2 linked regions of the Rhinolophus ferrumequinum genome follow. The protein of the gene in region 1 purifies or fractionates together with the protein of each later gene. This does not show direct contact. Links are inferred from orthologs where the notes say so. Each region holds a gene or a part of one and is shown on either strand. Other genes may lie near its edges. The genes, in order: POP7 and RPP40.

Region 1 (11,435 bases):
GCAGCTCATCAGGCACCTGGCAATGGGGCAGGCGGGCCAAGACACCACATGCTTCTGGGCCCTGTCCACTGGCGGAGGCCACACGGGCAACTGGGCCACACACCCCACCCTGCGCCACCCCCTACCTTGTTCTCCTTGACGTAGAGGGCCAGCATCTCCTCTCGCCCATAGCGATAGTCAGCCAGCTTGTATTTGGGCATGGCGGGGGATGGGGGTGGGGAGGCTACGCTGCCACCACTTGAAAGTGCCCTCAGCCTACAGAAGGGACACAGGGAAGGAGAAAGACAGGTGTCTGAGCAACCCTCTTCTTCCCAGCTTCCCCATGCCACCCACAGCACATCTGACTCACCACTCAGGCCCAAAGTTGAGGGTCTCTGCTGCCATTGTGAAGCTGAGCGTGTCCTAACGGTCGGAGGAGATGCACAGGGACGAGGGGACCTGGCGTTCACTCTCCAAACACCTGTGGAGACATGGGGGACACTGGGCTTAGAAGCAATACACCCAAACAACCCTGAGAGGACGAGGAGTATGTCCTCACCTTGGTGGGCACAGTAATGGGTCTCAAAGGACTCACCTAAACCACCCACATGCCACTCACACCATGAGTTAATAACCAAAGAGCTAACCAAAGGGAGAAGACCTGAGGGAGGACGGAAACAGGGCAGCCAGATCCCCTTTTAGCTTCTGTAGGAGTCCCTCCCTCACCCCCGACTCACCTGGCAGCCTTACCCCAGGAAGCAGTTAGAGTGGGGGCCTGACTCTCTTCAGGCAGGAGCCTATGCTGGAATGAACCAGGGTCTCCAAGCAACTGGACGTTGGTGTGACCGCAGTGGTACCTGGGGAAGGACCTTCACATTTGGGCAAGACCCTTAACGAGAGGTGAGGGGAAGAAGGCGGGTTAAATGAATTGGGTCAGACAGCCCTCCCTGCTTCTAGCCCTCCTCTGTCCTGTATAATAGGGACCACAGCCCCTGCTCCTGCTCATCTCTGTCCCCCACATTTGGCCTCACGAGCAGTTAATTCACTTAGCAAAGCATGTCTGAGGTGCTGGAGGTGTGGCAGAGAACACACGCGGCACCTCTCTGGGGCTCAGCACTCTTTCCTGCATGGCGGTATTCAGTAAGGGGGTGTTTAAGGTTTGCACGGACGTTCAGGACAAAGATAAAACAAAAACAACCAAACAAACCAACCAACCACTGGAACCACAAATATTTTAAAGAGGAAAGGTTATGGAGAGAAGGATTAGAAATTAATCTGGGCAGAAAATTACTTCCCTCCTGAAAAATCTCAGAGCTGGCTATTGGTGGCTAGAATCCAGAGACTCAGTTTTGAGAGAAACCCAGTTCAGGGGAACTGGGGTGGGGATGCTATTCCAGAGCCAAAGGTGGGGCAGAAACACTGAAGGCTGCAGGCAGGCGAGTCCAGCCAGCACACCCATGGACTGGTTTACCAAACAGGAACCAACACCCAGGCCCCTTCCCTGGACCTGGAAGAGCCCAAGCACAAGTACAAAGTGCCAAGAAGGGAACAACGTTATTAAGATACAAGCTAGGAAGAAGGCCCCTTACCATAAAGTAGAAATACGGTCAGTTACTGAGACTGACAGAAGTGGCAGTGGTGGCAGTGACCTGTCCCTCTAAGGATCAGCAGAGGAGATTCTCAGGAGGCAGCTCATCCCTGGCGGTTCCGAGCAGAGGACGAGCAGACAGGGTCTCAGGGGGCTGCGCAAGGGTTCCCTCAGTGGCTGGGGGGGAGGTTGGACCGGAGCGCCTCCACGATGCCCATCAACTCTAAAACTCCACAACTCTGGGACGGAAGGAAGAAGCGTTTCTACCGGAGGGAACAAGAAGAAAAGTCTGTTGAAAGCTCTTCCTTTCACGGAATTCAAGTAGGACTCACAGGACAGTAGAGTAAGGTTAATTCTTTCTACACTACAATCCTTATGTAATTTGGCCAATGGATGAAACTTGAAGACATTATGCTAAGTGAAACGAGCCAGTCACAATAGAACAGACATTGTATGATTCCTCTCATGAGGTTACTAGAGGAGTCAAATTCAAAGAGACAAGAAAGTAGTATGGTGGGTGCCAGGGCTACGGGGCAAGGGGAGCGGGGAGTTGTTGTTTAATGGGTACAGAGTTTCAGCTGAAATGGGGCAAACGAAACAGTTCTGGACAGGATGGTGGTGATGGTCGAACAATGTGAACATCTTTAATGTTGCAAAACTGTAAACTTAAAAATGGTTAAAATGGTGTATGTTAGGGGTGGCCGGATGGCTCAGCTGGTTAGAGCAAGAGTTCTCAACAGCAAGATTGCAGGTTCAGGATGGTGGGCTGCGCCCCCTGCAACTAAGATTGAAAACAGCAACTGGACTTGGAGCTGAGCTGCACCCTCCACAACTAGATTGAAGGACAACAACTTGGCGCTCATGGGCCCTGGAAAAGCACACTGTTCCCCAATTTAAAAAAAAAAAATTTTAAAAAGAGGTATATGTTATACTTTACCACCATTTAAAAAAGGTTTAGGAAAAAAAGGCATTTGGGAATAGCCATTACATACCTAAGCCTTCCCAATTCCAAAACAACACCTCATATTCTTCAAACAAATCTCAGGAGAGGCTATTCTGAGCCTCCTCCGGTTCACTCCAGAAGAGCCTGTCTTCTAGAGGAACAGGAGTCCTGTGACATGGAAGGCTACTGTGGGGAGGGGGGAACAGAAGAGGGACAACTCACCCTCCCACCCTGCCAAGGAGTGGCAAAGGTGGCTCTCCTTGGTACTTTCCACGTCTGGCCTTCACCTTTCTGTCCTGGTTTTAAGGAGCAAAGTGAGGAAAGCGGCTTCCAGTGTGAAAAGCAAGAAAACTGCAGAGGCAAAGGGAGAGGCAGTCAGGGGGGAAGAGGAAGCACAGGAGCAGCTGGAGAAAAAGGCCAAGTCTCCTGGCGGGCCCAGCCAGGAGAGGATTGGTCCCAGTGCTGGTGGCTGACTGGCCCTTCCTTGACAAGCAGCAAGCATTAACTCCCATGGTTTGCACCCCTCCAAGCAGATATGTGCGTCTTTTCCACATGCTTCCTCGAAGCCAGCAGTTCTCAACTGGGGGGAGGGGGCGGTGACTCTGCTCCCCAGGGGACATTTGGCAAAATCTGGAGACATTTTTGGTTGACATGACTGGGAATTACTACTGGCATCTAATGCGTAGAGGCCAGGGATGCTGCTAAAATCCTACAATACACAGGTCGGCCCCCACAACAGAGAATTATCTGTCTCAAAATGTCACTAGTGCCACGGTTAAGAAACCCTCCTCTATGCCATGAGCACAGGTAATCAATCCTATTCTGTTTATGGGGAAGAATGGAAGACGACAGAAACCAAATTTACTGCAGTTCATTCTCCCACTGAAGAGCAAGGAAATCATTCCCTAATTATACTGTCCCATGAGAGAAATATGAAATTCTGCCAAGAGGGAAATCCTTGGGAAAACACTAGGTTGAAAGAAACTGTCCCAAATTTCTCTATCACAAACTCTCAAAGGCAAGCGTTTGGATCCCTTTCCAGTGAAGGAAAGAGTGAGAAAGGCAGCAGAGGACTCGGGACACGGCCTTTCCTGGCTACTTGATCTAAGGGTCTCCTCACAGGCTCATTCCAGCTTAGCCCCACCGCTTGCCCTGCCCTGAGGCCGCCTGCCTCATCTGTACTGGCTCTTCGTTCTCAGGCCTCAGCATACCCTCACTCTCCTGGCATCTGAATTATTGCTATTAAAAGGCTGCCCCCTGCCGGAATCAAGGGGAAAGGACACACACTGGTCCTGGGTGCTCACAACAGGCTTCAGGGAATAAGAGGGGAGCCTGTTCTCTGGGGTTCAGAATTCACAAAAGGCAAAGATTCAGAGACTAGGCGGTCCCAGTACACACTAAGTTAAGAACATTATTTCCTCATTCCATCACCCCTAAAATTAGCCCCAATCCAGAGCAATGTGCCTTGGCACAGAAAGGTACCACTATTAACAGAAGTAGAATCCCAAATTCCCCAACATTTGAGCAATCGCCCAGCTCCAAGCCTGTTGGAGGTGACTCCGCCCTTTCGCAAGATGGAAAGATTCTCCCAGCATGGTAGGATGAAAACTTAAGAGGCTTAAAAAGGGGGTGCAAGCCCACATTCCTCTCGGATGGTCAGCTATCCCAGCTCTCTACTCTCTGAACAATCCTGACAAATTCTGCCCCTCGGCATGTCTATTAGTTAACAGTTTGCAAAGCAATTCCACACTTTACCTCATTTGATCCCTTTTGCCCACTTGCCCAGTCTTGGGTTCCAGCCAGGGAAAACAAGGGAGGCTGCAGCTGCAACGGCAGGGGACCCGGACGTCCCTAGACACCATGCAACTGAAGGGGCACGTAAGCAGCAAGAACCATCCCAAACTCTCAAACATACTTTGTGAGTTTCAAGTCATTTTAAATTTCTCATTAGAGAAATTTTAAAATCCTTCACGTAGCTGCCTCTTTTCACCCTCTCAGCTCTATTCCAAATCCCAAATACAGAAATAAAAGCGAGGACGAACGGGTCTTTTAATCCATCAAATCACACACAATACTAATACGTCCATTGGCTGAAAATGCCAGGCCGGGGGTCTAAGCACACAACTCACTTGACTGTAATTAACACATGGGACATTTGAGGCCCCTGCCCCCAGCGATGGCAACATACAGTACACATCTGCCCCAACCTTTCCCAATGACATGCTACACCTACAATGTAGGAAACAAAACGAGCTGGAGTGAGGGTTGGAGACCTGGGACTGCACAGGGGACGGTACAGATGAAGGAACCAGAGAGCAAACTCCCAAAGTGCGAGCCGCAGAGGGGACGCATGGTGTTTGAGCTGCAGAGGCAAACGAGGGGGCTCTTGGTGGGAGGCTAAGTTGTAACTGGCATGTCATCTCCAAGGGGCGTTGGAGAGGTAGTGTAAAGGGTGATGATTGTTGGGAACGCAGCACTGAACAGCAAGAGGGGAGTAAGACTGGGGTGCCTGGAGGAAAGAATAGGCCAAGAAGTATTGATTTAGCATCTCCCAGGGACTGGCGCTATGATGGACCAGGGCTGGAAGCTTACTAGAATTCTAGTAACGACTGGGTGAGGTGCGAGATGAGGGTCTCCTTAAAGTTAACTCAAAAAAGGGGAAAGTGTAAGGGGGCCGTGGCCAGGGAGCTGCTGCATCAGGGGGATTGGGCTGGGAAGGGCCAAGCCTGGCGACAAAAAAAGACTAACGTGTTTAACATGGCTGGGCAACCGGGAGGAAGGAGACCCCAATGACCAAGCACTAATGTTGCTGACTGAAAGGAAATTCAGGTGAAGACCCAGCAGAGGTACTCTGCTTAAGGGGAGAAGGCTTCCACATTAGCCAGTCGTGCAACGCGTGGACTTGAAACCCGCAGGGCCCAGCTAATTTTGACAAGAACCCCGAGACACGTTAAGGAATCTCTGGGGAGCGCCCGGCATTCGGGTCGGGGGCCTCCGCGCGGGCCCGGCGGAGGATGCGGCGCGGGGGAGGCCGGGGGCCCTGGACCGAGCTTCCGAGGGGCAGGAGACGACCGTTAGGAACGCGGGGGTGGGAAGGAGGCAAACTGGCCGGGAGGACGGCGTGCCCTTCAGGGAGGGGCGCCAGGTGCGCGGGGCGTGGGTGAGGGCGGCCACCCCCCGGGAGGGACGGCCGCGTAGGGGGCCGTCGCGCCGGGGGGAGGGCCGGGGGGCGGACGCACCCGGCGGCAGCGGCCACGGGAGGAGCTGGGGGAGGTCCGTGCCGGCGGCCCGCGCTCTGGCTCCGGCTCTCGCAGGCTCGACGCGGTCGCCTCGGCGTCGGGGGCGGGCCTGCCCCGGGCCCGACTGCGGGCCAGGGGCTGCGGGACCGCCGAGCGCTTACCGCGGCGGGCGGGCGGGCGGCGCGAGGCTCCGGTCGCGGGGCGTGGGCGGCGGGCGGGCGGCGCGCGGCGGGCCGGGGGCGGCGGCGGGGGAGGGGGCGCTGGCGCTCCCGCGGCGGCCGCTCCTCTCTGTTTGTGTTTGTAGCAAGATGGCTGCCCGCCTCGTACCACGTGACGCGGACGCGGGGCCGCGGGGCCGCCCCCTCCGCCGCCGCCGCCTCCTCCCTCCGCGGCTCCCGCCCGCTCGGACCCGCACGGCCTCGCGCGCTCCCCGCGTGCCCCGCCGGCGCGGCCCGGACGCCCGCCGCCTCCGACCCCCCCCGGCACGTGACCCGGGAGCCCGGCTCGTCACGTGACGCGGGGGCTGCTGCGGGCAGATGGGTGGGAGGTGTCCCCGTTGTACTCCGCGGCTATCCACCGGCACGTGACGCGCGACCATCGCGACGGGGCCGCAGCTAGTGGCATCACCGGCCTTTCCCGGTCGGACGGCTTCCTCCAGGAAGCCCGCCTGCATTGAAAGAGACTACAAACGATCTCGAGGTGTGTTTATCAGACGTCCTGGGATATATACAATAACTGAGGAACCTAATGATTTAGAAACAGTCCCAGGCAGCGCTGACTGGTGAGACCTGGAGTTTTACCTGGCTCCGCTACCGAGGAAGAGTTGAAGCTTTCTCGTATAGTAAGCAGTTAATGCTGTCCTCTGCCCCGTACCTGGCTGGCCCCCACTCCACGCCCTTCCTGGAACGCTGAAAGCAGTAAAATGGGTGAATGTGAAAGACTTTGAAAAGCGATTAACTACTATGCAAATGTAAGACTTAGATTGACAACTCCTTTGTTTAAAACATAGGTTTTCAGGAATTACTTTTCTGAATCCCTGAACCTTTTCGAATGAAAAAGTTTTGTGTGTGTTTCCACCATTTTCCTTGGAGGTCATTCCAGAATGTGTGCTCTGCTACCCAGCATCCTAAAAGAACTGTTACCAAATACAAAATAATCCTCAAGACAGGGAAAGTTAAGTTTAGACTTGGAACTTGAATCCCCTGTGTTGTGCCATAACAGAGTGCGGACCTTAGGAGCTACTACAAGCAAAGCCCTTTGTTCCCGCACGGAGTATCCCCCAGGCTTCTAAGTACTTGTAGTTTTAGTGTCGTTTTTTTTCAGTTCTGCTGACTTTCTTGCGGTCTTGATTCCTGCCTCAGTGTTGTCAGTCAAGCTGCTTGCTCACAAGCTGGAAAATGCAATTGTTTAAAGCAACGGCTTCTGTGCTTCTTTCCATTACCAACAGTGGCCTTGGGCAAGTTCATTAATCGCTCTCCTCTGTGGATTGTATGGTAAAACACTTAACACAGTGCTTGGCACAGGACAAGCACTCCATAAATGTTAGCTAATAGGGGCTTGTGGTTCCACAGGGTCCACAATATTCAGATTGTTAACAGTGTATAAAAATGTATCAACAGAATTTAATCTTGGGTCAGAATTCTCCTAGAATAAAGCTCATAAGCTTATGACAGCTGTTTTTTCTTACTCAAAAACTTTTCTTGTTTTTGTTTTTCTTAACTTCGCTAGATTGTATTCTGGGTAGTTGAAATTACCAGTAGTCTAACTTCTGAATGAGTGCGGTCTTAGCATGTTTTATTGATTAATTGGCGAAAGTGAGATTGTAAGTTATGGTGGAGAAATGGTGCAGGGACAATGGGGGAGGGGACATCTGTGGATTGGAAAATGTTGGGGACGGTGGTTTGTGCTGAACTGGAAGGAAGGGCAGGATTTGGATAGATTTAGGAAAAGTGGGCATTCCTTTGAGAATAGTAAGGATGATGGAAGACCAGGCTGATGGAAGACGATCTGGATTGCTAGTTGGATGAGAAGTGAAGTGAAACTCAGTTGAGGGCCTAGGATGCTACCATGAAAATGCTTTTGTTCTGAAAGTAGCACCCACTAGATGCACTGAATCAAGGAGAGGGTAGAAAATTAAGAGTGATAACCCATGGTTCCATGTGTCCAGCTTGTGACCCTGGGCAAGTAATGTCCCCCAACTGTAAAGTGGGTACCCTGCTGCTGCTGACACTGGAAATGAACCGCATAAGTGCCCTCTGTGAGAAAAGAAACTATGATATCAGACTGAATCTCTCATACAGGATTAAAGAAAAAAAATTAGAAATCACTTGGACCTAAAATATTTTTGTTTATTCAGGTGCTATGCTGTAAAATGTCTTGGTCTGTGTTGTTTTAAATGTAGAAGCTTTGGAACTAAAAGAAATTTGGTTAGATGATAAATCTAGATGAGAGGGAGGTCTCAAGACTAAACAGCCAAGCTTTGCCTTTTTTCTTAATGGCAGATTCCTCTGCCGGTGTTTGCCTTCAGTAAAATGCGAAAAGATAAGGACCATCTTTAGTGTCACATCAGTTTGTGACAGAGCTTGGTTCACCCACCTAAATTGTGAACCTTTACATTTATCTGGATGACAAAGTATAGAAAACATTTTAGACATCATGAAAAGACACACAACCTGAGTAATGGAATGGTAGTTCATAAACTGTGCTTATTGTTAAATATGAGACAAAATGGACCTTAAAACTAATGTATTTCATTCAGAATGAGTTTCTGCCATGTGCCAAGTTCTATGGTGGTCGACCAAATGTAACTGCTTGTCAGGTCACCAATGACCGACACATGGCTAAAGCCACCGGCCCATTATCGTGTGTGGCCTCTGAGCAGCATGACACCACTCCCTCCTCCAGGAACTGCTTTCTTCACCTGGCTTCCATCCTGGGTTTCCTCCTACCTCACAAGCTGTTCCTCCTCTTCTCCCCTATGTCCCAGGGCATAGTCCTTCTAAGCCTCTCCATTGTAGCAGGAGGGACTACACAGGATATGAACCCCACTGCTACGCATTCCTGTCTCAGCTTAGCCATTGCTTCCTTTAGAAAACCTTGGATCCCCCAAGGTCATATTGGCTGTTCTTCCTTGGGGGTCCACCAAATCCTGTACATTCCCTCCACTGGTCACACTGTCTTGCTCATGTTGTTTGCCTTCCACACGAAACTGAGCTGCTTAGCACAGTATTCTATGATATCACCAGTATTCCATCTAACAGGACTCCTTGATCCCACCTTTATTGCTGAATAGTATTCCATGGTGTGGATGTATCACAGTTTGTTTAACCATTCACCTGCTGAAAGACACCTGGGGGTTTCCAGTTTAGGCTATTATAATGATAAAAGTGAACTGGTATTGGGTAAGCATTTTAAGATACCAGTTCACTTTTATCAATAAATAAAACTGCTATGGACATGTGTGTACAGGTTTTAAATGCCTAGGAGTGTTCTTGCTGGGTCATATGGTGAGTATATTTTTAGTGTTAGAAGAAACTGCCCAACTTTTCCAGAGTGGCTGTACCATTTAACAGTTCTACAGCAGTGTATGAGACATGCAGTTTCTCTGCATTCTTGTCAGCACGTGTTATTGTCAAGATTTTTTATTTTGGATATTCTAATAGGTGTGTAGTGGTTGTCATGGTTTTAATTTGCATTTCTAATGGCTAAGAATACTGAGCATCTTATGTGCTTATTTGCCATACTTATATCCCCGTTGCTAAAGTGTCTGTTCAAGACTTTTTCCCACTTTCTAACTGGGTTTGTTTTCTAACTCTTGAGTTTAGAGAGTTTTTTATATATTCTGGATACAAGCTCTTTGTCAGATACATGATTTGCAAACGTATTCTCCTAGTTTGTGGCTTTTTTTTCATCCTATTACTGTGGTTTTTCACAGAGTAAAGGTTTTTAATTTTGATGAAGTACAATTTATCAATTTTTTTCTCTAATGGATTGTGCATTTGAGGTTGTATCTAAGAACACTTCACCTGACCCTATGTCGTAAAGATGTTTTCCTCTAAAAGTTTTATAGTTTTACATTTTATATTTAGATTTGCCATCCATTTTGTGTTGATTTTTTTGCATAGGGTTGAAGTTTAGTTCTTTGCCTATTTGTCCACTTGCTTTAGCACCACTTGCTGAAAAGACTTGTTCTTTCCCCGTTCAACTGCTTTTGCATCATTGTCAAAAATCAGCTGGCTGTACTTGTGTGAATGTATTTCTGGGTCCTCCTTTCCATTTTACTTATTTTTGTGTCTATTCCTTGGCAGTTACCACACTGTCTTGATATTGTGTTTATACAGTAAGTTAAAATCAGGTGATATATTTTTTTTTTCGAAATTGCTTTAACTTTTCTTGCCTTTCCATATAAATTTTACAATAAACTTGTTTGTATTTGAAAAAATTCTTGCTGGGCTTTTCAGCATAGGAATTGCATTAAAGCTAGAGATTAGGAGAGAATTGGTATCTTTACTATGTTGAATCTTCTAATACATGGACATTGTGTATCTTTGTATTTACTTAGATCTTCTTTGATATCTTTCATCAGTATTTTGTAGTTTTCAGCATGTAGATTTTGTACATGTTTTATTAGACTTACACGTAAGTATTTCTCCCACCTCCCCCCATCTCTGGGGTGATTATAAATGGTATTGTATTTTAAATTCGTATCCAATTGTTTATTGCCAGTATATAGAAATACAATCTGTATCTTTTTCTTGCCTTATTGCTCTGTCTGGGAATTCCAACAATAAGAGTGGTTGGTGAGAGAAGACATTCTTGCCTTATTCCTGATTTTAAAAGCAAGGTGGCCAGTCTTTTATCATTAAGTATAATGGTAGCTGCAGGTTTTTTGTAGGTGCTCGTTATCAGGTTGATGATGTTCCTTCTATTCTTTTTTTTGCTTAGAGTTTTTATCGTAAAAGGGTGCTAAATTATGTTAGTTTTTCTGCATCAGTTTGATATGATCATGTGAATTTTCTTTAGGCTGTTAATATGGTAGATAATACTGATTGGCTTTCTTATATTGAACAATCTTTGAAATCAGTTCTATTTAGTCATGGTGTATAATTCTTTTATATATAGTATTCCCCGCTTATCTGCGGGGATACATTCCAACACGCCCCGTGATACCTGAAACTACGGATATTATTGAACCCTGTATATACTATGGTTTTCCTATACATACATACTTTTTCACTTAAAGGAAACACTTTACAGCTTCTCTTTGGCATATCTGAATTGCCAGCATCACTACTCTTGCCCTTTGGAGCCATTGAGTAAAGTAAGAGTTACCTCAACACAAGCACTGCAGTCCTTGACAGCTAATCTGATAATCAAGATGGCTACTAAGTAACTAATGGGTGGATAGTGTATATAGTGTGGATATGCTGGAAAAAGGGATGATTCACATCCCTCAAGGGACAACAGGAAGGCAAGATTTCATCACACTATTCATAGTGGCGCGCAATTTAAAACTTATGAATTATTTCTGAAATATTCCATGTAATATTTTCATACTACAGTTGACCACTTAATTAAAACCGTGGAAAGTGAAACTGTTGATAAAGAGTGTCTACTATGTTGCTAGATTAAATTTGCTAACATTTTGTTGAGGAGTTTTGCCTCTTTATTCACGAGAGGTATCAGT
Region 2 (11,246 bases), on another chromosome or scaffold:
GTGCCTGGTCGACAGCCAGCTCACCCCCAGAAGCAGAGCCCCCCAGTATACCAGCAGCTGCCACACACACATGAAGTAGCTCAGCTGGGAGCAGAAAAATGGTCCAGCTGAACCCAGCCTGACTGCTGACCCGCTCAGTCATGAACTAGCTAAGCACTGGGTGGTTTGTGATGCAGCAATAGCTAATACATACACCCACTGCAGACAGGATGCCAGGATTCAACGATGTGTTAATTACAAGTTACTTGGCTAACAGTAGGCACCCATTGATGCTGATTTCCTTTTCCCCTTATTTAAAGTTGGATCTCTTGAGTTATACATAAATACATGTAAACATGTGTGCATGTAATTAAATTCACACCTCATGCCACAGGAGGAAATAGACAAGAGTCTGATCTCTAGAGCCCAAGGTCAGATTGCAAAATAAGAAATTTGCCTTTAATTATTCCCTCCAAATCTGAACAGGGGATGTCAAGGCCACGGACAGATCTGACTACATGGGGTTCCCTTCTCTTGGGGCCTCATCTTCCTTTCACTGCTGTCTGATCTCAGAAAGGGGCAATGGAACCACGCCAAGAAGCAGTGGTCACCCGTTGGAAACTTCCTGCTTGCACCCCTCTGCTCCCTCTCAGGACACGATCTGTCTCCATGTTGGGTCTGAGGAATAGTTCCCTCACGTCTGGCTGAGATGGGGGTTCAGGAATTCTACCTCTCTGAAGTCAGGGGGAATGACAGCCCTTAGACCTGCACTTCCAATGTGGCAGCCACTCACCACATGTACTGAGCACTTGAAATGTGGCTGGTCTGAATTATTATGTACTAGATGTATAAAATAGAGTGAATTTCAAGATATTTTACACACAAAAAATGTAAACTATTTCGTTAATAATTTTATATTGATTTCACATTAAAATAATATTTGGGATATATTGGGTTAAATTATATTATTACAATCAATTTCACTTGTTTCTTTTTATTTTCTTTAATGTGATTACTAGACCTTTTCAAATCTCAGGCTGCCTCCTCAGAAGACCAGAGGGCAAGAAGATGATGAAATCTGAAATTTTTGAATCATTTGTCGTTTTATCGTTTCCATTTGTGAATAAAAGATTTAATAAAGCTTTTTACCCTCATATAACCTTAAGTTGAAGGTTTAATATTAAAATACCTATCCTACATGCGTTTCAACATCGTGCTAGGACCCGCCATTGTTTCGCAGGGCGCTGCAGCCATGTGGAGACACTGTCCTCATCCTTAAGCCTTTACTATTTGGAGAGCTCAAGGATTGGCTGCAGGACCCTGTTTTCAGGTTTCTTAGACTTTCTTCCTCCAGTGTGATTAAAGAACAAGGCCAAAATTAAGTTTGAAGCTCTCAGAAACCAAAGGATTTGTCTTTCTGTGCTGTGGCTTACCAGCATTTTTAGTTTCTATTATCAGAAATACCAATTGCAGGTCGCAGCCGGGAAAAAGACCATGAGGAATTGAGAGGCACATTGCACCTAATCTGCACAGGCACGTGCACTGCTAAAAAGGGCCATAACTTCCAAAAATCTCTTAAGTTTTCAAGACTTAGTCCACACCAAGCATTAGACTGACAGCGCCCTGTGCCGCCAATGGTGTTGAAAGGTGACTACAGATGCTGAATCCAGGGCAGACAGGACTGTGTGCTGTAAAGGGAGCCACACATCACAGAAACACGAAGTCACACTTCAGGTAAAGCAAGCACTTTGACCAAGATTAGTTGACTCAAGGCAACTTCATTCTTTTTCTTTCCCAATAAACATTTTCAGGGTCAGAAGCCCAGACTCCACGTAGCAATGTTTTGATGACTGCTCAGCACTGAATACAAGAGGAATAAAGGAGATGAAACCCACACTTTAATTGTAAACAAATGTTGTCAGTGAAAACATTTCAGATCCGTAAGTCCATGTATCTATTAATCATCACAGTAATCTGAAATGCAAGGAAATGATACAGCATGTGTCACTTATAGGTTTCTTTTTCTCTTGTCCCCTCTTCATTTAAACATCTAAAGTTCCTAAGTACATAGATACTCTTTATGAGAAAAAAAAAGAAGAAACTCCCATTGATATCAATGTAAACATTTAATATTGGACAATCAGTTTTTTCATTTTCTATTTTGTCTGTATTGCTAAAGAGGCAAAGATATACAATTCTATATCTTAGATATTGCATTTTTGTAAAGACTGAATGTAATAAGCTTCATTCCTTCAATTATTAACAATAATTACAATTTGCCCGTTCTCTGCAGAATACACTTCCAGGAACTGTGGGGATGTGGAAAAGAAATAAATATTGTTTCTATGAGATGGTAAGTCCCTTGAAGGCAAGGACAGGAGATGGTCTCTCTGGTCCTTAGCAGTGTCTGGCACACCGCAGGCACTGCAGAGGTTGATGACTGCCTGAATGAATGAATACGGTACTTCCAATGGGCAGGAAGTCCCGCCCACACCTGGCACTGCGGTTGGCCATGTACACACGGACACTGCCTGGACCCCCACTCCGAGAATTACACTTGCAGCACACCACTTCCTCCCTGCAGCCCAGGGCAATGACTCCAGCTGTTGGAGAATTGGGGGACTTATCTCACCCCATGCTCTTATCTCACCTTCTTTCTTCCCCTCAAGTCTGTATCCAAGCTACCCTTCCACTTGAGTCGTTCCACTGCTCAAAGCTCCAGTCATTCTACCTGAAGCAGCTCTCCTCTTGCCTTTCTTCCCTCCCCCATCCCTGCTGCTGTATTGCTTTCTTTCATCAGTTTTTGTCTCCTTTCCTTGTAAAATAACTCTTCTACCACTTTCTACCTCATTGGCATTTATTTGGGAATCAGAAATTCACCCCACAGCTTAATATTCCATTTTTGGAATAAGTCAGTCACACTCTGGAACAAGCACCAGTGCCATCCACCTCCAGAGATCTTGAAAGTAGTTTAAGATCTTTTAGAACCTCCAGAGAAATCTTAATCTTTCCCATTTCCTTCTAGTCAAGCTTTTTTTTCCTCAAGTACCAGCATTGAAAATAAAGTTTTAAAAATTATTGTGCCAGCAAGAAAAGGAATGAAGTACTGATTATGTTGTCATATAAATGAACCTTGAAAACATTGTGCTAAGTGAAGGGAATCAGTCACAAATGTCTATTTATTATGATTCCATTTATATGAACTGTCCAGCAAAGACAAATCTACAGAGACAGAAAGCAGATTAGTGGTAGCTTAGGGCCTGGAGAGGACAGTGGGGAGGGTAGGAGGGTGATAGCTAAGGGTGTTCCTTTTTGAGGTGATGAAAATGTCCTAAAATTGACTGTGGTGTTGGTTGTATATATCTGTGAATATACTAAAAACCGTTAAATTGTACACTATAAATGAGTGAACTGTACAGTATAGAATTGTGTCTCAATAAAGTTGTTTTAAAATTTTAAAAATTATTATGAACTATTTCATACATTCAAAATTATATATATACATACATATATATGTTCATATATCCTGTACCTGTCACCTGCCTCATAAATACAACTTCACTGGTTTTGAAGACACGTGCGTGTCCTTCCCAATACAACCCCTTTGTGTTCTGCTTTTTCTCTATATTGAGATATAGTTGACATATAACATTATTAGTGTTCTGCTTTTAAAATACTCCTTCATTTGTACACTTCCATGTACTGACATAGCCTACATAGTTGTCATTTTTAATGTTTGTGTGCTTCACTGATTTCCAACCAGTCAGAGGGAGGACAGCTGAGGAGAGAGGAAATATCGTCTGACTTTGCACCTTGAGCAGAACTTCTGAGATTCAAGTCCTCTCATGGGGTGGACCATGGAGTATCGTTGGGGGCCATTCGTTTTTTTCCCTTGCAGCTGCTAGATCCAGTTTCCACTCTGTGTGCCATCAGAGGGCGGTTTTGTTTTTGTATACCAATAAGGGTCCATTTGTGGTGGCTGCCTGGAGTCCTGCACTGGAAAGAGCGCTGAGGTCAAGTTCAGGTTCGGCAGGACGGAAGCCTCTGATTTATTACAGGCATCTGCAAGTCAGTTCCCAGCACTGACGTCACTGCTACTCTGACTTGTAAGGAGGCGATGTTAAATGCATCCAGGGCGGTGCTGGGCACCAAAAAACAGGACTTAGTCACTCCAGGAGCTTCTGAGCTGAAGAGCTCTCTCCTTCCACGACTGCATATTGCTAGCTATATTTCCACATATATTTATAGCACTGCAATTGTGTTTTGGATTTGCACCCTGACCCAGGAATTAATTTATTTAAAAGAGTATTTCAACGTTTTCAAGGAGTTGAGCATCTTTAAATTCTGGTTATTTCTAATTTTATTGCACTGTAACCCCAAAATGTGGTATGTAAAATTTTTGCCCTTTTAGATTTACTAAGAATATTTTTATGTTTTTTAAGAATACAAAGGTATTTTTATTTCTTTGCAAGTCTGTTGACTTAGTTTTTAAAAACAAAATCATTTTGTTACTATATAGTGTGTGTATATATTATGGTTTTGTTTCCTGTGCTTTTTTCCCTTTTTTAGCCATTTTTTTTTCTGGCCCTTCATTCTCTCTTAGAGTTTTCTTTCTATGCCCTATGCTCTAGATCTAATACCTGTTTGTCAGTTAAGGTTGCTTTCAGTTCTAGAAACCAGGAAATCTGACACACAATAGTATGAACAAGGCTATGGTAGGAGGCCACAGAGGTGGGCGGGGACCAGGTTATCTAAGCTTTTATGCTACTGCAGTGAGAAGCCAGTAGCAGGTTTAAATGGGGGGTGGAGGGAGGTGGCATATATCATGTTTTTCATGTGTTCAAGAGATCATGCTGGGTGCTGAGTGGAGAGTAGACTGTAGGAGGGCAAGACAGGAAGCAGGGTCAGGAGGATGTGCCTGGCAGCAGACCAGAAAAAGAGGAAGGTGGCTGAAACTGGTAGTAGGAATGGAGAGAATGAAAAGAGACTGCAATCAGGATGCATGTTGAGGCAGAGCCAACAGAGGATTGCATATGGGGTGTGAAGGGAAGAAGAGTCAGGCATAACTCCTGAGTGTTCCCCACAGGGAAGAGAATCCAGGCAGTTTTCAGCATATAGATGTATTGAAAGCTGAGACTGCAGGATCATTCTGAATGGTCAGGCAGGGAAGAGAAGGGGGCTGAGAATCACTAGAGATCTTCTGGTGGAGGAGCAGGAGCAGGAAGAGGAGCTGAGTAAGGTGTGGGGGAGATCCAAGAGATGGAGGGGGTGGGTCTCAAAAATCCAGAGGAAAGTGTTTCAAGAAGGAATATTTTGAAATGTACCCAGGGATCATTACAGACACAGAACTCTGGGAAGGCAGGCTGAAAGGACTCCTCAGGCCCAAATTTACTTGAAGCTACAGCTTTAATCTATAAAATAAATGGACTTTTGCCTTCTGTTTCATAATACAGGCACACCCCGCCACAGAACAAATCCTCAAATAATGTATCCCTGGAAAGACACCTCTGTGTTTTGAATACCCAAACTACATAGCAGGTATTTATCGCTCAACACATTTTTCAGCTGTATATATATATATATATATATATATATATATATACAGCTGTATATATTTATATATATATATAAAATTTATATTGAGTCTTCAAAATTTAATAAAACTTAGTTTAGTGGCTTGCTAGAAAAGCTTCATCTTGCTCCCAAATACAGAATCACACTATACTTTGCAAAGCTTTGGAGTATCAACAAGAGATGAATATATCTGACGTGGCTGCTTTTGGAAAGGCCACTGATACTTAATTGTGACCAAGAAGCAATGTTTTAGGCATTTTACATCCAAATATATTTGTAGCTTATGTCTAGGTGCTGTATTGTGATTTAGGAAATTGGTAGATTTTTTCAATTGACTTGCTATTCCTTATAATTTTTTCCATTGAAAATAGGTTTTCCTTATTTTTTCCAGAGACAGCCTGACATTTCAGGCACAGGTTACTCACAACTGGCAAGGGATCTTCTAGCTTTGTCTTAAACTTTTAATACTTACCTTGTAAATTACTTAACTTGGGTTCTTCCAAATTTTATAGTCAAATTAATGCTCCAGAAAGTTGTACCACATATTCTACTGTTTGGTATCCTCTCTGCACAGAATTGGGGCTGTGCATACTTCAGTTTGAGAAGCAACTAGTCAGGTAGTACTTGAAGTTTATCAGAAAAATTAAATGGAAAAATAAATTATTACTGTAACCCCAACAGCAATAAATACTAAGAGGTTCCGGAAGGATAATTAAAAAGGGGTCTTAAAAGTGGTTCCAAAGGCGTCTTAGTGTAGTGCGGAAAACAGAAATTGGGTATTACCTTCCTAAACAAACTTCCTAACAGTTTAGGAAAGAGCAAGGTGGGGGTGGCGCTCATAGGGAGGATTTATGGCGAGACAGAAGTTGGGAGGGATGGAGGGTTTGGAGAGAAAGGTGGCTTTGGAATGACAAGTTCCATGTTCCCAGGTACCAGGTAATTCCATTTGACTCAGCGAACTTACGGTGCCAGGTACCCGTTAGTGAGTTTCTACTTGGATCCCAAAGAAGCCTGGGGCAGCCGGCACCGCCAGCTCCACCCCGACCTGGGGTCGGCCTCAAAGAGCGCCGCCGGGCCGCACTGCGCATGGCTCAGGGGCGGGGCGAAGGGAAGGGGCGGCGCGCCAGGCCCGCGGAGGTTCTGTGGCAGGGAAAGCATGGCCACCCTGCGCGGGCTGAGAGAGGTACCCCGGCACTTGCTGGTCTGCGAGAAATCCAACTTCGGCCACGACAAGTCGCGCCACCGGCATCTTGTGGAGACGCACTACCATAATTATAGGGTGAGTCGGGCCGCCCTCGGCTCGCGAGCTGGAGAGGCTTGAGAGGATCTGTACTCCGCTCTGCGTGGCGGGCCCGCCCTCGGCGCTGGGGGGCGGGGCCCTTCGCCGGGAGTGCTGGGAGCTGTAGTCTCTAAACGGGTCGGAGCTGGTTGCTGGCGGACCAGCCGGATTACAACTCCCAGGATGCGCCGCGAGCGGCGCGGTATCGGCCCTGGGGGAGACCTGGGCGGTGTGCGCCGGTAGCACGTTCCTCCCGTCCCTTCCCCGGCCCATTTGCAGAGCATCCCGGGGAGGGATGTGAGGGGCAGGGCCGCGACTGTTGCGAAGTGCAGCCGCCGGCCGGCCTCGTACAACTCGCTTTTTCCCCACATCGAAACCAGACTCGCCTCTTCCCCACCGCCTAATTCCTTCTCCCACCCGTGTGCCTGTGGATTTTTCAGAGCATCGTGCGGAGTCTACGCCCAGATAACGACTTGCTTTTCTAAACTGCTTATGGAAACTGGATTGATAGCTGAGAAACTTTCCACTTTGCCTGCCTGCTGCCCTATGTGTACTCAAGACACACTGTGCTATTTCGGCAGCTTTGGGGAGAAATTCGCTGTGATGGCCCCGCTAGCGAGCACAACCAAGAGTTTTAACAGGGTGGTAACAATGGCTGTTGTTGCTTCGTGAAAATGTCACCCTCAGGGGTGCCTTTTCCTCAGATGTGAAAGTCGAGGCATCTCAGTGAGGTTAATTATTGGTTTATCCAGGATCTGTTGTGAGTGGAGGAGAACAACCCAGATTCCCAGTCAAGTGTCTATAGGGCTGTTTTCACCAACCCATTTAAGTGGTGAGACCTCCAAAAAAATCAATCTCAAGATGATAATGGTTTAAGCCTTTAGCACGTTAAATTGATCAGCCTGATCAAAACTCAGGCCCGACTGGCCTGTTTCTCAGAGACTCAAGTGCTGACTCTGGCCCTTCCGGGACAGACTGGTGTGTCGGCAGCTTTGGGAGAGTGATTTTCAATGTGTGGAGCCTTGGGCAGCGTGTGAAACCCGTTAGGTTTTAACATCTCCGCTTTGGATGGAAAAACTACTCACAGATAGTAGTCAGGGACGTATGCCTTAACTCGCCAGGTCTGATCTGTAGAATTTTTCTGTCTATAAAATAGAAACATCCAGTAGCACTTCTGCTTCCATGTACCCTACTAATAATTGGTTCTGAAGAGGTAAATTCCTTATGCTCTAAGAGACATTTCCTGTGATTCAAACCCGCGACCAGGATAAACAAATTTAGGGATATTCAATTGTCCTATTTTCCCTAAAAATTAGTAAAAGGAACAGGACATATTTATAATGCTTCTTTGTAAAAAAATAAAATACTAGCACGACATTTCCATTATTTATTTGTTTTTTGGGGGTCATTCTCCTTCCTATACGATATTTGAATACAGAAATGAAAACTTGAATTGTCAGGTGTTTCTTTTCTTGAGATTGGTAAGTTAATTAATGAGAGTTTTGTAGAAATCTCTGGCGGTATAGTTAGCAGCCTTCATGATCTATATCATCGCTAAAATCCTGGGTGTTCAGCTACGTGAAAATAAAACTTGTTTATATTACACATTCCAATAGGTTTCATTTCTGATTCCTGAATGTGGTATACTGTCAAAAGAACTCAAAAACCTGGTCATGGAAACTGGATCCTATTACTTTGTGAAGAATTTACCTGTTCATGAGTTAATTACACAGGAATTCATCAATACCTTTGTAAAGAAAGGTAAGAAAAACCATGCAGTGTCTGTGAACGTGGCAAGATGAGGAAGTATGGTTAGATCACATCACAACACAAGGGTTTTTCTCTTGTGTTAAATCGGGCCTATGGAAATAGTCCGTGTGGTCAAGTGCATGCATTACTCTCCCCATTCCTCAGTATTCTTGCCCTGCTCTTCCACATGCTTTCATTAGGTGGTGGTTTCCGATGACATTTGTCCACAGGTGTTGCTTGGGGTTATTGTAACATGAAGGCATCCCTCATCTTAAAATAAAGATTAGTGAAGAGGAAACCCTTTTGATCTGTGTATTCAAATTCGGTGCTGTTGGGTATGTGCCTCCAAAGAACAGTATGCTCCCAGTACCATGTTTCCCGGAAAATAAGACCGGGTCTTACAGTAATATTTGCTCCAGAAGACGCATTAGGGCTTATGTTCGGGGGAATGTCATCCCAAAAAATCATGCTCGGGCTCATTTTTTGGTTAGGTCTTATTTTCGGGGAAGCACAGTAGTTCCCACAACAGATATCTGAAAGGTTGGTTTCGGATAGCAGCTGTTCACAGTGGTTTGGTGTCTTCTGCTTAGACTTGGTTCTGAAGAGGTAAATTCGCACCCTCCTCTGCTCACCCCATTCCCAGTCGTGTCTGGTGGGTGGATTGGATTATTCCAGTTGTTTCCTAGGAGCCACTTGTTTGAAACTATTTCAGAAAATCTTTCGGGATCGCACCCTCACACCGCACGTTACTGCACTTATAAGTAAGCAAGCCACTTACTTAGCTTGCGGTCAGACCGTGTTTTCCTCTCCAGTGGAGAATCCTAGTTCCTGGTAGCTCCTCTCACTCTGATGTTGCTGGGGCTGCTTATGAAGCTGGGCGTCTTGTCTTTGGTCTCATCGACATTGTTCCTTTCATCTGTTTTGAAGTTTGATGCTACTTTTTTAATATTAATAGTGTGGACACTGGCTATAGTAGGCACTTTTACATATCTTACCCAATTTAAACCCTTGCCACAACTCTATGAAATATGCCTGTGATCCCCATTTTACAGGTGAGGAAATTGAGGCTGGGAGAGATTAAGTAGTTTTCTTAACTTCTCACAAGTTCCTGGCTCATTTTGATTTTTAACCTGGAACTGTGCCTCTCAGGTGTGCACACTTACCTAGTATTCCACTTTGTGCCTTTCTGCCAGCATCCCCAAGGCACACATGCCATCCTGTGTCCATTTCCTGCTTGATAGTAGTCAGCTTATACGAACAGGTCTTGGGCGGGGGTTGAACTAACTGCTTGGCCTTTCGTGTTCTCCAGGTTAGCATTGGCAGGTTTTAGGTTTACTGAGTGAGCTGGAGCAGTGATTTGGATGATTTATTATCACGTAGAAATAATCCACTGACTTTTTGCAGGTCTGTTTTTTTTTTCCTTGCCTTAATTTTTCCTCTGGGCTTTCTCTTACAGGTTCATGCTATGCACTAACATACAATACAAATATTGATGAAGATAATACTGTTGCCCTGCTGCCAAATGGTAACAACACTCAGTTTTTTCTTTTTTGTTTAATTTTAGAAGAAATAGATACTGTAAAAAAAAGAAGGCAAATCATACAGATGTATATAAAGTGAAGGTTCCCCCCTCTCATCCCTATTTCTTCCAAACTCATTCCCTTTCTCAAAAGGAACTGTTGTTAATAGGTAAATGTTCATTTTTATAGACATTGTCTATGAATTTATACATACACATAAAGGTGCCTTTTTTTTTTTAACAAATTACGTCATATTATATTGTTTCTCAATTTGCTTTTTTCCCAAGCTATATATCATAGACATCTTTCCATATCAGTGCATATAGTTCTAATTTACTATTTTTAATGTCTTGAAGGTATCCCAAAGAAGAGGTATACAGTGGCTTATTTATTCCTTCTTCAGTAAAACTTAAATAAATTTCTAGTTTCACTATTGTAAATAATATCTTTGTATGTATAATGTATAAACAATACCCTTCAATTATAAATAAGATGTTTGTGTATATAAGTAATATCCTTATATTATAAATAAGATCTTTGTATGCAATTTATTGCACTGACACCTAACTGCTCAATTTGCCTTTCCTTTTTTTTTTTTTTCTAAAGATTTTTATCGGGGAAGGAGAACAGTGCGTATTTCCAGGACTTTAATGGGGAATAGTGTGTTTTTCCCAGGACGCTCCAAGTCAAGTTGTTATCCTTCAATCTTAGTTGTGGAGGGCGCAGCTCAGCTCCAAGTCCAGTCACTGTTTTTCAGTCTAGTTGCAGGGGCCGCAGCCCACCATCTCATGCGGGAGTCGAGCCGGCAACCTTGTTGTTAAGAGCACGCGCTCTAACCAACTGAGCCATCCGGCTGCCTCTCGGCAGCTCAGCGGCAGCTCAGCTCAACGTGCGGCGTTCAATCTTAGTTGCGGGGGTGCCTTGCTTTCTTTTAGTCAGTAAACATTAAGTCATATTTTTGACATCTCTTTTATGAGAATTATTTAATTCATAGGGAAATTAATTTTATCACTGGATAAAGACACTTATGAAGAAACTGGACTTCAAGGTCATCCATCTCAGTATTTTGGCAGAAAAATAATGAAATTTAGTAAGTATTACGCTTGCTCTATCAGTTTCGAACAAGGTAGTAATCTTGTAGCAAT

Evidence for each region.
Region 2: the proteins of POP7 (region 1) and RPP40 purify together in Homo sapiens (co-immunoprecipitation; 4 studies listed by BioGRID and IntAct, with this or other methods). This does not show direct contact. The link is inferred for Rhinolophus ferrumequinum from reciprocal best matches to the Homo sapiens genes POP7 and RPP40.

What each region holds. Positions count from the first base shown.
Region 1 is NC_046290.1:90,968,394-90,979,828, forward strand, and holds the start of POP7 (ribonuclease P protein subunit p20), read left to right. Parts: upstream 1-6,183; 5' UTR 6,184-6,448; intron 6,449-11,435. Other genes in the region: GIGYF1 (GRB10-interacting GYF protein 1), read right to left, coding at 1-16, 126-255, 350-384. UniProt on the Homo sapiens protein: Component of ribonuclease P, a ribonucleoprotein complex that generates mature tRNA molecules by cleaving their 5'-ends. Also a component of the MRP ribonuclease complex, which cleaves pre-rRNA sequences.
Region 2 is NC_046292.1:88,845,848-88,857,093, forward strand, and holds the start of RPP40 (ribonuclease P protein subunit p40), read left to right. Parts: upstream 1-6,666; 5' UTR 6,667-6,709; coding exon 6,710-6,832; intron 6,833-6,885; exon of another isoform or gene 6,886-7,563; intron 7,564-8,448; coding exon 8,449-8,593; intron 8,594-10,037; coding exon 10,038-10,106; intron 10,107-11,095; coding exon 11,096-11,191; intron 11,192-11,246. UniProt on the Homo sapiens protein: Component of ribonuclease P, a ribonucleoprotein complex that generates mature tRNA molecules by cleaving their 5'-ends. Also a component of the MRP ribonuclease complex, which cleaves pre-rRNA sequences.